Daphnia pulex: one gene and its partner. The protein of the gene in region 1 interacts with the protein of each later gene in a biochemical or structural test. Links are inferred from orthologs where the notes say so. Each region holds a gene or a part of one and is shown on either strand. Other genes may lie near its edges.

Region 1 (7,716 bases):
TTTGTAACCGTCTGACGAAATTTCCGTGAAAACAGACTATCACTTTTAGTCAAATTGGGTGGTGGATTGCTCGCTAAAACTCGCACATGCAGTGTCGGCGTAGATCCAGGGAGATTACCTGGAAATGGAAGAGGAGAGAAGAGTGCGAGGCAAGTTTTACTGGGGAGCGATTAGTCATACTAGGCTTCCGGGTTAGACTCATGACCCTCTAAAAGTTTTCGTCGGATCATGCGCCTTCCAAGTCCCCGTTCGACCAGAGCCCTCCCCTCCTCCTGGTTTCACAGCGGGTGAGTGACCACCGGCGGGCGTTGGTTAGTGGTTAGTTAGGGAAACGGGGCCACAGAAAAGAAGGGAGCCCAGATATGCACTTGTAATTTATCTAACAACTAAACAATTTAGTGGTCTTGAATAACAGCATTCTCTCGTCAGTTTCACCATCCAATGGGTCAGTCTATGGAAAGGTGGCGACGGATTCAACTGAAAGGAAATTTAAGTAAGATTTTATCAATAACGAGGCGTAGAGAAACAAGTCAACAAAAAACAATGGAGATGAGCACTTCAAAAATATTGAATCAAATCAGCAAATCACGAATATGCACTAATTGTTGTCTTATGCCATATCCTATAGTTCAGGAAAAATCATTCTTTTGGGCGTCTAATAAGTACTAAATGAAGTACTAACTCCTTTAAAATCCAAAAGTAGACAAGCAAATTACCAAAGTCTAACAAGTGAGCTTTGTGGCTTACGGTCAGTTGTCACACAAAATTATCTAACATTAACTGCCGAAAACTGAAAATGAAAAGGATCCCTGCTCTAGCTAAATCAAGACATACTACTAAAGTAAGAAAAAACATAACAAACAAAAACAGGTAATAATAAACCTAATACTCACGCAATACTGCTACATTATCATAACCACAGTTATTTATTTTAAGGTGTTATTCTCTGGAAAGAATGTTTTCCAAAATTCTGATCATGATCAAAAGAAGAAGTAAAAGGAATTAGTATAAACTTTATAGTACAACTTACAGTAAAACTTACACCACGAATACACAAATATGAAGAGAATTCCAGTTGGATATTTTGCATTTGTTTCAATCATTATTCTCTTTCTTTGCAATTGAAGAACAGCCTGGATCATGCTATTTTCCTTTCACAAGGATCTCACTGTTTCAAAAATTCAGACATAAGAATTGATGAGTGTGAATTGCAAGTCAAGGAAATAAAAAATACTAATTGTTCAATCAACTACGCAGAATACCTATAATGTTGGTTTCACACTTAATCTGCTTTACCACATTACATTATGCTATTTAACAAACTTTTTGAAATGTTTAATAGTTCACTTTATACTGCATCGAAACGTGAAAAACAGCAACTAACCGTGCACTAACCATGGCAGTCATTGTTGTTATTAAACTGCAGTGGCACCTGGTGGCCAGGACTTTCCATTGATAGGAAAAGGGTGTGAAGAAGGTAGGGGCTAAAGGGCTAGTCTATGCCCCAGAATTGAAAACAAATCTGGCCGCCAGATGTCCTCAGTGTCCAAGCCATAACATTGTCACTTTGTCAGGCTGTCAGCTTGTTAGCGGTTTTTGCGGTTGTTGATCTGCGTTAGCAATAGCCAATAGCAAGCAAAGGGCTTTTTGTGATTTTTTTTCATTAAAAAAAAATCAAAACAGATATTAAAACAATAAACGACAAATATCCTTTTCATTAAGGACTTAAGGTTTAAATTAAAATACCTAACCTGTGTGTGCTTATAAACAGCATCACACTTGGTCCCTGAATTTCGAATTTTTAAAAACAAAGCTAACACGTACAATAACACTGCGCCACTGCTTGTCAACAACCTTCAATAGATCGAGTTGCTATAAGCAACACGAATGAAGTTTAGGTATGTTACCCGGAAGTTTTCTTTACCTTGCGTGGTGCCGTTTGCGACCTAGGCGTCGTGGACGATGGCATCAGGAGTGGCAGATGCACTTAGGAATAATGCTATGCCGCGTTCAACACGAGGTATTTCTCTTCTGACACCTCGCTCACCTATTCGACTGCTCGTTTTCAGTGGAACGAAACCTTTGATTGGCTGTCATCAGGTAGGAATCACTGTTTCTTTCAAATTACCCGAAGCCGAAGGATGTCTGATTTAGTGATTTGTCCGAGTGACTTTGGTGGTTTTTACATTAACAATTTAAGGGTATATGAATGTGAGATTTGCTTATTAAAAATCCAATTTCATAAGTTTTAAAAAGGGAAAAAATGTGAAATATATATTTTTAAAATTCATTATGTAATATTACCTATATTATTATCCTATCAAATACGTAATGCTACTATTTTAACGGGGGAAATCGTTCAATCAAACGAATATTATTTTATATACGAGAAGTATAATAATAGGAGGAATGTATGTATAATAGACAATACAAGGAACTAAGTAGTTTACAAAATCACAACTTTTTTAAACAGTTGCACGGCTAATGTTTCGATAAACTAGAAACCGGATGACGAATCACTGCAGAGTATAAAGGGTCGTCTTCCTGATAGACCTAATGATCACCAGAAAGGTCAAAAATGATTCTGACGATGAATGACTAAAAATGACTTACTTTTAGAAAATTGTGTTCAAGCAGATTAGCTGCGCTTTCTCTTTGTTTCGGATCATGTTGAAGAAGATGAGATAGAAACGCTTGGCCCTCTTCACTGAGCGTAAGTGGCGTAGGAGGTACTTCTCCCATCCCAACTTTGAACATAATAGCGTAATTTGATTCGAGTTCATACCAAGGCCTCTATAATGTGCAAAAGGAAAAACATTTTATGAGTTTTCCAAACACTCTCGCTGATTTCGATTACTTTTCCTGTTGCCATTTCTATCACTACACAACCCACACTCCAGATGTCGGCCGCGCGTCCGTGGCCCTCAGTCATCGTATGCATAAAAACCTCCGGAGCCATGAATGCTAATAAATTTGGATTAAAATTTAATTATTATTTTTTTGTTGTTGATATGAAAATGAAAATTCTTTTACCTTGAGTGCCAACAAAACCTTGCAGTTCTCCAAACATGGTCGTTTGCGATTTGATTTTAGCGGCACAACCAAAATCACCTAATTTTAAACAATTGCCAACGTCGGTAAGAAAAATGTTGGCACCTGAAACAAGTAATTTACATAAAATAAGAGTTCACGTTCCAGTTTATCACGGCGAATGTTCTCAATTACATACCCTTAATGTCTCTATGCACGATTCCATTTTCGTGTAAGACAGTGACGGCTTCGAGAAGTTGTCGAGTGAAACGTCGAATGAGTTCTTCGGGTAGACCTGTCTCAGTTGAAGCAACTAAATGCTCCAGTGTTCCTTCCGGACAGAATTCCATAAATATGATCATTTCTTCTCGATGGATCTCCAAACCGTAGTAACGCACGAGATGCGGGTGATGGATGCCTTCAAAGATGTGCAATTCATCCGCTACACTGCGAATGGTCCGATGATCGTTGGGCTGTAATGCAATCTCTTTCATGGCCATCAATTCGCCAGTTTTATTGTTGACAGCTACGTAAACTTTGCCAAAACGTCCTTGTCCTGTGAAAACCCATCAGAAAAAAAATATATAGCTATTGAAATTCTTCTAACTTGAATTTGAAGGAGATCTCTAGCTTAACGCGTTGGTAAATATAGCTTCTCTTCCACGGAGTGGAGAGCAACTGTCAGGGTGACGCAAATAGATAAATGGACATTTTCAATTTCGGTTCCCTCTGCCGCCTACAAGCTAACGTCTCCGTTTGTTGTTTAGGCCCATTCTCATTTTGAAAATGAGTATAAATAAATAACGTAAACATCCGGCGTTGCTGGTTGGGTCCTTGGTTGCTAGACGGCGTGCATGCGCTAGACAACCTTCGATCTGGCACCGACCGTCTTATATACAAAATACTGGAAATAGCACGCCAGACAGGCACAAGTCAAAACATTCGAGGCGTGGAAACTCGCCACCGAAACCAGCAGATAGAAACTCGAAACTGGAAAAGGGGCGATTAGTTTGGATACGGCCGTCCCGAAGATGGGTCGCTCCTCTGCTGCGCTGGCACGTCGCACCAGCAGCGGAGCAATACACTTGGCTTTGGTATTGTATCTGTTAAGTGTTCACTTCATCGGGATCGAAGCTCAACATGAAGATTCAGGGACCAGTTCTGAAGAGAGTCGAGCTGACGACCCGATAGGTCAAGAATCGGATACAAGTGAAATGCGGAGGCCGCGGCCTTTCAACTTGATCGCCCCACGGCCGGCTTGTGAGTTCCAGAATAAGCACGTAACATTTTTCAAATAACCCAAACATAATTGTATAAAAATGCTACAACTGTTTTCCAGCTAACGTAGTAGGAGTTTCAACTACTCCCCCAAGTCCAACATTAGCGGGAGGTATTCTCAACGATGTTGAACACGAACCAGGATTGGTTTGGCCTACGGTGACAATACCGGCAGCCACAACCCCGTCGGTATATTCGTTAGAATGTGTTATCCCTTAAAAATCAAGCTAACTGAGTATTGAATGGTTGTCAGACTTCGGATGAGAGCGGACCAACCTTGACCAGCGGTCGTCTCATGGCTCACCTTCAGCGAATCACAGAGAGGCTGTCATCGATGGAATCGCTACAAATTCAGACACTGCGCAAACTAGAGGGAATTGACTACCGGTCAGTCCTTTGCATCTAATAAGATCCATCAAAACCAATAACAGTTTTTTTTTATCTTCAATTAGTTTAACGCGTGTGGAAGTACAAATGCAAGAACGCGGAGACTCGGTGCGCAACCTGGCCGCCGACACTTCGAGGCGGCTGCAACAGTTAGAAAGCGATGTTGGACGAATTGAAACTCTACTAGATGTGGTGCGAGACGAGTCAGTTGCTATTCGTACCGGTCAGGCTGAGCTCAAACACATCATAACACAATCTGGTGGAGCCCAAGCACCGGCAAGAAGTAAAAAGACAAAAAAAAATCGCTACTTTGAATTATTAAATTTTGTTTAAATAACCCTATGTAACTAACAGTGACGGAAAGTGACGTTCCAGCTCCCCGTCTTCAAGTACTCTTGGCTGGAATGAACAGTCTTAGAACGACAACAAATAACCTACGGGATGAACTGTTACTTATCAGCAAGAACGTCAGTGTTATGGCCAACCTGACCAAGTAATTGTTTTAGAATAGCGAACAAAAAAGAAGCAGAAGCGACTGACATTCAATTGAATTTCTGTTAGAATTGTCGAAAAACGGAGCGATGATTTCGCTACAAAACAAGATCTGCATCGTGGAATTACTGCACTAAAGAGCCAAGATTCCACACCGGCCAGGACTCTTTCACATTTCATACAACCTGGCGCTTGTCCTTCCGGTATATTAAACTGATTTACTATTGCCAGACACTAATAATTAAGGTCATTTATTAACCTCTCCACAGAACGACCAAGTTTACCACGTGATTGTCACGATGCGCTTAATAAAGGTGGGCGCCACCTTATGTCGGGAATCCAACGGATTCAACCATTATCTTCATCTGCACCCTTTTTTGTTCAGTGTGACATGGAAACTCGCGGAGGAGGATGGACGGTATGGCTATTGATCATTAACAGTTATAATAATTTCTTAATATCTGCTTGTCTAATAGGTTATTCAAAATCGCTTTGATGGTTCAATTAATTTTCTACGGGGTTGGAATGATTACAAACAAGGATTTGGCAATATGGCCACCGAATTCTGGCTGGGTCTCGAAAAAATCCACATGATTACGAATCAAGGAGTGAGATTAAATTGCAAATTTGGGGAGTCTGTTCATTTCATTAGCGATTTTCTTTCAGGTCTACGAGCTTTTAATCGAACTGACAGATTTCGGTCTGAATCAAGCCACTGCCCACTACACCGCTTTTGCTATCGGGTCTGATGCTGAAGGTTACGACATTCGCCTACTGGGAACCTACGAGGGTGACGCGGGTGATTCCCTCTCGTACCATACATCCATGAAGTTCTCTACCGCAGACAACGATCAGGATCAATGGTTAGACGGAAACTGTGCTCGCGATCACACTGGAGGTTGGTGGTATCGAGGATGCGATACAAGGTATTCTTCGTCTTATATGAAACAAATATTGGTTTGTTAATTCTCCTGTTTGTTTTTTCAGCAACTTAAACGGGCAATATCTGAACGGCCCCGTACCTCAAGAATTTGAATACAAGGGGATGTACTGGTACGATTACCAGGGGCCTCAATACTCTTTAATGAAGTCTAGAATTATGATTCGACCCTTTTTCAATGCGGTTGTGCTAAGTGCACAACCGGGCGGAACTACAGTTAAGCCTCGATCTCCACAAGTACCGGCTCCACCCGGTAACCAGGGACGACCTACTTTCGGTCCAAAGTTACCGAATCAACAAAGCCAGAAGCCAAAGAAGAAAAAGGAGATGGAGTGATTGGGGGAAAAATATACATATATATATCTGACGCAGAAACAGAAGCTTTACAATTAACTGCCAACCGGCTGGCCCAGGTGGACAACGTGAGACGACTATTCTTCCTGGTCTTCCGACTTATAAACCCAACTGGGAAACCCATTTTTGACACTATAATACACAGACGCACCAGTACCAAAAAGGCCAAAACGTGTTTCAATGGGTACTATAATATCAGTAGCTTTTCTTACCTATTTTGACTCCACGCTGCCAAGAAAACTGGACGCTTTTGAGCCGGATGTGCCATTTCGCTTCTTTGGTTTGACGGGCTACGCGACCAATCAATGTAGCCTCCTCCAATGAAGCATCGCGCTGTGATTCAATTAAAAGCACAGAGCGGCAGACACGGTCCTTCCACGGCAAAACATCTCCGGCTACATAATGAATTCGATTACAGGTTGATATTCACGATTCTACCGTAACTCAAAAATCGATTACCAGAATCCCGTCGAGGTAGAGTAGGCAGCGAATTCGAAAGTCGTTCGTCATTGGAACACTGTAGAGACATCTTTCTTGAACTCATCGGGCTTTTCAAAGGAGAAAGAGTTTCTGCTGATAAACTGCTCGGGAAGACGGGCACTACGGAGGAGAAAAAAAGTCGGTTATTAGCATTGAGATTACCTTGGTTAAAAAAAAAATGACATACTAGAATTTTTTGAAAATCGGCGGACGACTGGAGAAGAAGTTTGCAATTTAGAACTTTGATCTAGTGATCCGATGATGTGATGAACACATTGACTAATCGACTCTTTCATTCTGCAAAATTCTTCGTCGGGGAGATGACAAGTTATGTCAGACTCGCAGGCCGTAACGAGAAATTCTAACCCCTTTTCCAAAATATGTAAAAGGTTAGGAGTTTTGGTTATTTTAATGCAAAGACAATTATTTACAATATACCTGAGTAGCCCATTTGGGTCTGAGACCACGACCGCGTTCGCTGTACTTCACGGTAAAGTTCATCCACAGATTGGCTAGTTTGACTACGTTGAGGGCTAGCTCAACGTTAGGCTTGCCAGAAACAAGACGTAGTACGTCTTTGTTAAATTCGAAGCCCAGTTTGAAGCAATGGCGGACCACTTCTTTCCAACGACTTATCAGTGGAGCCTGCTCCAGCGGGTCTAGAAGATGTACGTTTAGATGTTGGACACTGCACTTATTCACCACTTCTTCGATAGATTCAATGATGGTTTGGCTTAAGCAGATCACCTCATTCT
Region 2 (7,816 bases), on another chromosome or scaffold:
CAGCTGATCAAACACAGAGTTCCAGTGAGGATAGGGGAACTTGCCGGTGGCTATTTCGATCAAGGTGATACCCAGTGACCAGACGTCACTGCGTATATCGTAGCCTCGAGCGGAAGATTGGGGATCGATCCTTTCGGGCTGTGTGTGTAACACGAGAGAGAACGATCGGAAATTAGTTATAAGGTGGCTGGACTAGTTGGTTTATAAATATAAATTGCTTCATTACAGCCATGTAGGGTCGGCAGCCAGCATCTCTGGTCTTGGCAATCGAGTCCACCAGCTGTCCCGAAATGCCAAAGTCACACAATTTGATGCTTCCGCGCCTGTCCATTAGAATGTTGGAAGGTTTGACATCACGATGAATAATCTCCAAGTTCTCCTTCAAGTAGTTTAGGGCCTGGACAGTCTGGGCACACAAGGACAAAAGCAAACATCATGCATAAATCAATCGCACAACAAATAGGTTGAATTGGAGGCTTACTGCAAGGGCCATTTTCCCGAGGATGGATTCAGGAATCTTTTCCTTGAGTCGCTGGTGGGTAAAACGGTAGAACTTGTCCAGAGAAATATCCATTAGTTCCATGCAGATCCAACAGTCTCCCTGTAAAACATTCCCCAAAAGTGTTAAACTATTTTTTTGTAAAGAAAGAAAAAAAACCTTTTAAATGTTTTATACCTCAGTAAAAAGGGCTCCATAAAATAGTACAATAAATGGGCAGTTATTGCTTCTCATAACAACTTCAAGGTCCATCAGTAATTGTTTCTGTTCTTTTTCATCGACAGTGGAACGGATTCTCTGCAGAGGAAACACATAAAGTTGGCTGTTGAGTACAAGAGCCATGCAACCAATTTCAATTTGTACCTTGACAGCCATGACGGTATTTGTTTTGATATGGAGCATTTTATTGACACTACCAAAGTTTCCTCTACCAATTTCACCCATGTCTTCCAGGTCTTCAGCTGTGAAATCATACACCTATGACAATGGGAAAAAACAGTGATTGTTAACACCTACGCTGTCACTCTAAAGTATGAGCATCATCTCGTACCAATTCAGGGGATATCTGCAGCTTTCCTGGGGAATTGTTGACATCAGTTATTTTCCACTTTTCCCTGCAAACAAACGTAAAGATTTCACAAATCGGGGAGATGCTGTCACTGAGCAAAGACTTACATTGGAAAAGAGTGAATGGGAGCGATTGCACTGCTGGGCGAAAGACATTTGGTTGGCAATCCAGAGAATGAGAGGGGCCTCAGCCTGCTTCGTTTGTCCTCCGCTGTGAATGAGAAAACCAATCCATCATCGTAAGAAACCCACAAAAAAAAGGACCTCAACACACCCCCCACTTACACGAGAAAAAAACAGCTAATTAATAATTTCACAAATGCAAATGAATACCTTGCTGCTCTTCTGTCGACATGTTGGCGCCTGATTTGCACTCGGTTGCACTCTCTGCCTTTGACGGCAGGATTAAACTGGGTGATACACACACACACACAAACAACACACACGAAATAGGAAAGAAAAAAAACTCGGGCTTCGTGAGTGAGGTAAGTGCGTGTGAAAAATCAAACAAACACACACACACACACATGCACCACACACACACACACCAAAGGGGAGCCCTAAAAACTTTTTGTTACGCGGCGATTGCTCGAGAGAGGGCTGCGGCAAAAGACGTCATTCATTCGAAAAAATACTAAAAACTAGCTCGGTTTGATTTCTCCTTTTGATGACGGGCGTGCAGCAAATAGAAATGCCACTCGTGTGTCCATCGAGTGTCGCCCACACGACCGATAAAAAAGGAAACAAAAATTTACGTTAAGCCGATCTTCCCATCTCTCGTGAAATGGTGAAGTTGGGAAAAACTTTGTGTCAGTGGGGCCAGAGATTATCGATAGTCAAGTAATCGATTTCTTTCCAACGAATCGGTTACGGCAACCACTCTTTGATTTATGCGCGCGCAGGTACGTTACTACTCGTCTATTTGATTTCTCTAAAAAAAACACAGTAGAGAATGTGAGGAGGTTGATCTAATTATCCTTCAGCTCGGGAATTCTTTTGTTATCTTATTTCATGATAGGAACTAAAGAGCACGTGATATACACCAGCCATTAAAAATATTGGAACTGTCAGACGCTTTTTAGTTTTTACCCTGGAAGGCAGACAAGTCCTTGGGGGAGGTTAAAGTAATTTTAGTATTTTATTTTTCTTCATTTTTTGTGGTTGGAATATTTTTTTAACTTTTAAAAAAGAAAAAAAAAATTGTATTTCGAACTCGATGCGGTTGCGTAAATAGATAAATAAATAATGACGTAAAGTCTTACTTGAGATAAATAAATGAAACTGTGACGCCCATGAGATTGAACTATGCGTGACTCGAATGTACACCTTGCGAAACAGGACGCACGAGTCAGACATTTTGTTTCTTTTCAAAAAAATAAATAAGGATTCATCCAATAAAGTGTAGGTCGTGTACGTCAGCCGACGGGCGGATCTTATCTAATAATCAAGCCGTCATCCCGACGATATTCATCGACTCGATTCAGTTGTTACCGTTGGGTTTTTCGATCCAAGAAGTTTATCCCGCGGGAAAGTTTACCGAAAAATACTAATAACAATTATTCGAATCACGCTACATTTGGCGCTCTTTACTTTTGCCGCCACAGAGTCCAGCGCTAGGCAACGCCCGCAGTCAAACATTGGAAACTCTAATACTCTTCCGGCTGTAATATTATTGATCGTGCGAGATTTTTTTTTCAAATAAAAAAAATCTAAAAAAAAAAAATCCGGAAGAGTTCCGGGTGGATGAAAAAAAAATTCCGGAAGAATTCCGGCCGGATGAAAAAATTTTTTTTTTCAACGTTGGTGAAAATCAACCTGTCGAATAGATTGGGTGTCGTAAATGGTTCTTGTTCAAGTTATCTCTTATAATTGTTTGTTTTTTTTGGTTTTGTTTTGTATATAACGTATACACCAGCACACGGACAAAAAAATCATTTTTTTTGGGGGTTTTTCTTCTTTGTCTTTCCCGTTTCGCTTTGAAACGGGAAATCAAAATGTTCATTGTAGAATAACGATCAAATCAAGACAATAGTTGTTCAGCACACACAGAAATAAAGAGGAGAGAGAGAGAGATATAGAGAGAGAAATGAATTAAGAGCTAGAGAGAGATAGAGCAGAAGAAACAAGTTTGTTCTTTTTTTGAGAGAGAGATAACCAGGGGAAGGAGGGATTTTTCTTTCTTTTTGTTTTAAAGACGAATGTAACGTGTTTGTATACAATCAGCGAAGGGATGAAATGAAGTCATCTTTAACGGCTGGGGGGGGGGGGGGGGATATTACAAGGGGGGATTGAACAGAAACACAGACATGTACACCCACACGAGAAAAATTGAAAAAAATAATGAAACGAAAATTGAAATCAAATTTTAGTTTTCATTTCTTTTTGCTTTTTTCTTAGAAAAATTGTTTTCCGGGGTCAATAAAAATTCGAAAAAAAAGATATTAGAGAGCTACTGGTTTGAGACGGTTGACAAATCGACTCCAGAGGGGGGGGGGCTGCATAATTAATTCAATTTCAAACGAAAGAAAAAATTTCATCACTTTTTTGAGTTTTTCTTCTCTTCACCTTTTTTTAAATTTCCTGCAGTGTCAACTGAAATGGCGAGAACGGGGAATCGACAGGTTCATTTCACGGACAAAGGGAATTCAAAATTTTATTTTTCAAATCCTGCGCCGAAATGTTTTTATAGGGGGGACCTAAAAAATGAAATTCCGAATGAAAATGTTCCAAATAAAAAATTTAGGGAAACAATCAACAAGACAGAAGAATTAGAAACACACCGAGCACTCGCACAAAGTTGGAGGGGGGAGAAATCAAATGAAATTGACAAACATTTTCGGGAATGAAGGGGGGTTCTAATTATAACCGTCACGTACGTTGAGAAATTAACAAATCAACAAATCAAGTGAGAAAGAGAGAGACCTACGATGAACATTTTCTTTTTCTTTTGCAATTCAATTTCATTTAAGAGAATTATGCGCTGTGTGTGTCCATGTGACATTGTATCCATGTGTGTGAGGTGTGTCCAGTGAATTTTTCTTTTCGTACACTAAAAAGTATAACAGCAACACGAGATGGAGACGGGCATGTCCGTCCAAATTTTTTCTATTTCCGGTGGCCGTTCAACAAAAATTTCTTGCGTGTGAATTTGAAAATTAATTTAAAAAAAAATTTAACATTTTTTGTCCGTTTTGGAGGAGGAGGAGGGGAATGGGTAGAGAGTGAGGAGTGGGGGGAAGGGGGGTTTCCTCAGAGGATGTTGACTTCCCGCTTGCTAAAGTGGATGTTCTGCTCGGCGCAGAAATCGCGCGTGATGGGCACGCAGTTGAGGTAGCCGAGCGTTTGGATGACGCCGGAATCCTGGATGGGCCACACGTAGAGGAGTAGGACGAGTGTGGTGAGCAGGATGGCGGCCAGCGTCAGCGTGACGCCAATCAGCACCAACTTGCGCCGGCGGTCGTACACGCCCACCGTGATGAACGGCAGGAAAGTGTACGAGAGCAGTCCGCCCGAAATGAACCTGTGCCCGGCACCAAAAATTCAATGAAATTTGTTTAAATTTTGAATTCCAAAATGGAAATTTACCCGAAAATGTGAGCGAAATTGTCGACCCAGGGCAAAAGTCCGGCGACGAAGAGGAAGGCGACCGTCATGAGGAGCCGGCCGAGTGCCCGCCAGGGCGTCCGAAGTAGCGGCCAGGCGTGCAGCACTTCGACGCAGAGGCAGGCGAGTAAACCAAAATGCGAACCGGACGGACCCACCTAATAATCCCCCCAAAAAATGGTAAATGTGTAAATTTTGAATTCATTCATTTCATTCAAAAATGAACGGGCAAGATGGGGACGGACCTCGGCTCTGTATGGCACAAACAAGGCCGAGGCGAGGTTGCCAACGACACCGGAGCCCAGGTAGATGATGCCGATGCGCAGGGGTCCGGCCAACTTCTCCAGGTCGCGCATGATAATCATCTGGAAGGTGACCGAGACGGCCAGGTGAAGGATGCCGGCGTGCAGGAACAGCGACGTCCACAGTCTGTAAAATTGGTCGGCAAAGTCGGGCGTGTGGAAAGGCAGCATACCGCAAACGTCGTTCATGCAAGACACCTGTCAAATTCAATTTTTATTTGAATTAATTTAAAAAACGTCCAGCTGGCAATTAAAACCAAACGGATCTTACCTGAGAGCATAGGGAGGCTTCCTGATGGAAATAGCCTTTGACAAAGTCGCAATACTCGCGAGTGGCGATCCGGCATTCGCCGTGAATACCTGACGGGATTGGACGGACGGAAAATTGGAATTTTAAATTCAAATTGGTTGGTATTTTAATTCAGTTTTACCAATGCAGCACGGGTGTCCGATGACTTCGCAGACCATGTGATCGGCCTGTCCGGTCGTCTTCAACACCTGATTGGCATTCGACTTTGATTCCGACCCGGATCCCCCTAAACCGGGCAGTTTTTTGCGGCATTTCGGCCATTTGGTGATGTCGTCCGGCCATTCGAACGGCGCCACTGACGCTGGTTCTATACAAAAACTAAAGGGAGGAAAAAAAACAAACAAAAATTTATTAATTTTATTCAAATAATCAATTAAAACAAAATATATTACTTTGGATCCTGGCCGCAAACGGAGCCGGATATCCGCCCACCGGGTCCAGACTGAACGACATTCCACTTTTTCCAAGTCGAAGTCAAATCCTGGATGGTTTTGTCCATGGAGGAAAGAAGAAAACAAAAGAGAACATGGAATAAAATATTGAAAAGTTTTAACAAGAAACGGATTTTAAAAGAAACAAACAAACAGGAAGGAAATGGATGGAAATAATGAAACCCATAAAAATAAAAATGGATGAAACTGAACAAGATTTTTGTATCAAATCTTTTTTTAAGACACAGACGACACCAATCAAGCTAAACGGGATGTTTCTCGGTTGAAATAAAATTTTTAAAATAAAAATTGTGTGTGTGTTTTGACGGGAGTAGATATATACAGACGACGGCGATGCGGAAGGAACTAAATAAAATTTTTAAAACGAACGAACTCGGTCGATTGGAGGTTGAAAAACTGAAAAAAATTAAATTCCAAGGAATTTCGGTTGGTTTGAATTTAAAATAAACAAAAATGAAATGGTTTTGGGTTCATTTGTTTTGTGTGTGTTTGTGTTGTTGTGGTTGTTGTACCGTGCCAATTCCGCGCTCCGTGTTGTGATAAGGCGGCACAGAGGGAAGAGACTGTTTCGTCGGAGACTTGCGATTAGTAACTCACTCGAAAACAACAAATCTTAATATCATTAAAATTAATTCCGTCCCATTTTTCAACAAACGAATGGAAATGTTGCCCAGCCCTGCCCCCCGGCCCATTGAACCATTCAATTTGAATGAAAAGTAAAAATAAGATGACGGATGATAAAATGTTTTGTAACAATTTTGAAAAAGAGCTTTTTAAAATCGGTAATTAAATTCATTTTTACCGAACACTCGGCCCTGGATGTCTGAACGCAACCCGAATTATCATTGCGGATGCAGCAGGCCGTCTGTCGTTCACGCATCCGGGTGGCTTCAATGTCCGCCCCGATCCGCGTGTCCGGCTTCATGCACGGACTGTATTTAGCGCCCAGGTGGATCAGATCCGCCTGGAAAAATTTAAAAAATCAAATCAAATTCCGGATGTAATTGGGGGAAGTAAAACAAAAAAGAATAAAAACGTACCGCTCTCGGTCCGATGTAGAAATTGGAAGGCTCGTAATAGTCGACTTCTTGCAGAGATAAACTGGTCACGAGTACCTGGGAATTTTTTCGTGGAATTAAATTTTAAATTTTCATTTCAGACGGATGAGATGGGGGGAAAACCAACCGATCCGGAGCGTCGGTGCAGATTGAAACCGATAGGTCCCAATCCATAAGTGATGAGGGCGATGAACATGATGAGCACCTGGACGGTGCAGGTCCAGTAAGTGAAATAGGGACGGTGGTCCTCGAACGAGTCCAACTGTCGCTTCAAATGTTTGTTGCTCTCCGTCATCGACTGGCGCAGCGATCGCCTGTTCGTTTTGGACATTTGAATTTTTGTATTTTTAAAATTTTTATTCCGGTCGATTCCGACAGACAATAATCCAGGAGAACAAAAAAATCAATGAAAAATCACCTCGTCATCCGACCGACGACGCCCATTCCGTACTGCCTCCGATTCGAGTTGTCCATCAATCGATCCACCACCGACGGACCGCTGGGTCCGTTGCCGTGAACGGCCCGCCTCCACCTGGACGGCCTGGGAATTTTATTTGTAAATCCAATTAATAACAAAATCGATAAAGAAATTGGAGAGGATTTCGTCATCAATTTCAAAATTTTTACCGGGCCTCCGATTCCCGTCGATGGGCTGGCCCGCCGGACGGCGGTGGGCCCATGTGAGCAGCGTCGACCACGTCCTCGTAGGCGGGCGGCGGCGAGTCGAAAAAGACTTCGTCGTCCAGGGTGACGTCGACGCAGCCGAGATTGGCCGTCCCGCCCGTGTCCATCGTCACGTCCGGCGGCAGGGGCTGGGCATTGCCCAGGGAGCCGCCGGCCGAGCGCGAGGACGAGTCGGTCCGGTTGTTGGCTCCTCCTGGACCACCACCACCACCACTTCCACCTGGACCACCGGGCAGCGAGGACGAAGCGGCCGAGGCGGTGACCGCAAAGGCCTCCCGGGACACGCTGCGTGAGCGGACCGACTCCTCGTCGGGTCCGTTGGGTCTGAGCCGGACGATGGC

What was found.
Region 2: the proteins of mitogen-activated protein kinase kinase kinase 4-like (region 1) and dual specificity mitogen-activated protein kinase kinase 4-like form a complex in vitro, tested with the Homo sapiens proteins (2 studies listed by BioGRID, with this or other methods). The link is inferred for Daphnia pulex from reciprocal best matches to the Homo sapiens genes MAP3K4 and MAP2K4.

The regions. Positions count from the first base shown.
Region 1 is NC_060017.1:6,265,189-6,272,904, forward strand, and holds the end of mitogen-activated protein kinase kinase kinase 4-like, read right to left. Parts: intron 7,715-7,716; coding exon 7,400-7,714; intron 7,330-7,399; coding exon 7,149-7,329; intron 7,082-7,148; coding exon 6,941-7,081; intron 6,877-6,940; coding exon 6,694-6,876; intron 6,645-6,693; exon of another isoform or gene 6,464-6,644; coding exon of another isoform or gene 6,175-6,463; intron 6,114-6,174; coding exon of another isoform or gene 5,854-6,113; intron 5,796-5,853; coding exon of another isoform or gene 5,664-5,795; intron 5,606-5,663; coding exon of another isoform or gene 5,457-5,605; intron 5,391-5,456; coding exon of another isoform or gene 5,257-5,390; intron 5,189-5,256; coding exon of another isoform or gene 5,050-5,188; intron 4,979-5,049; coding exon of another isoform or gene 4,761-4,978; intron 4,696-4,760; coding exon of another isoform or gene 4,562-4,695; intron 4,498-4,561; coding exon of another isoform or gene 4,370-4,497; intron 4,291-4,369; coding exon of another isoform or gene 4,062-4,290; exon of another isoform or gene 3,956-4,061; intron 3,587-3,955; coding exon 3,230-3,586; intron 3,157-3,229; coding exon 3,034-3,156; intron 2,965-3,033; coding exon 2,858-2,964; intron 2,794-2,857; coding exon 2,614-2,793; intron 2,554-2,613; coding exon 2,482-2,553; and 2 more. Other genes in the region: fibrinogen C domain-containing protein 1-like, read left to right, coding at 4,062-4,290, 4,370-4,497, 4,562-4,695, 4,761-4,978, 5,050-5,188, 5,257-5,390, 5,457-5,605, 5,664-5,795 and 2 more. UniProt on the Homo sapiens protein: Component of a protein kinase signal transduction cascade. Activates the CSBP2, P38 and JNK MAPK pathways, but not the ERK pathway. Specifically phosphorylates and activates MAP2K4 and MAP2K6.
Region 2 is NC_060023.1:2,020,748-2,028,563, forward strand, and holds the start of dual specificity mitogen-activated protein kinase kinase 4-like, read right to left. Parts: upstream 3,709-7,816; 5' UTR 1,596-3,708; coding exon 1,400-1,595; intron 1,278-1,399; coding exon 1,175-1,277; intron 1,114-1,174; coding exon 1,050-1,113; intron 977-1,049; coding exon 863-976; intron 797-862; coding exon 677-796; intron 602-676; coding exon 482-601; intron 407-481; coding exon 227-406; intron 139-226; coding exon 1-138. Other genes in the region: uncharacterized protein LOC124197299, read right to left, coding at 4,316-4,586, 4,652-4,827, 4,915-5,169, 5,243-5,331, 5,403-5,599, 5,674-5,762, 6,246-6,296, 6,536-6,697 and 4 more. UniProt on the Homo sapiens protein: Dual specificity protein kinase which acts as an essential component of the MAP kinase signal transduction pathway. Essential component of the stress-activated protein kinase/c-Jun N-terminal kinase (SAP/JNK) signaling pathway.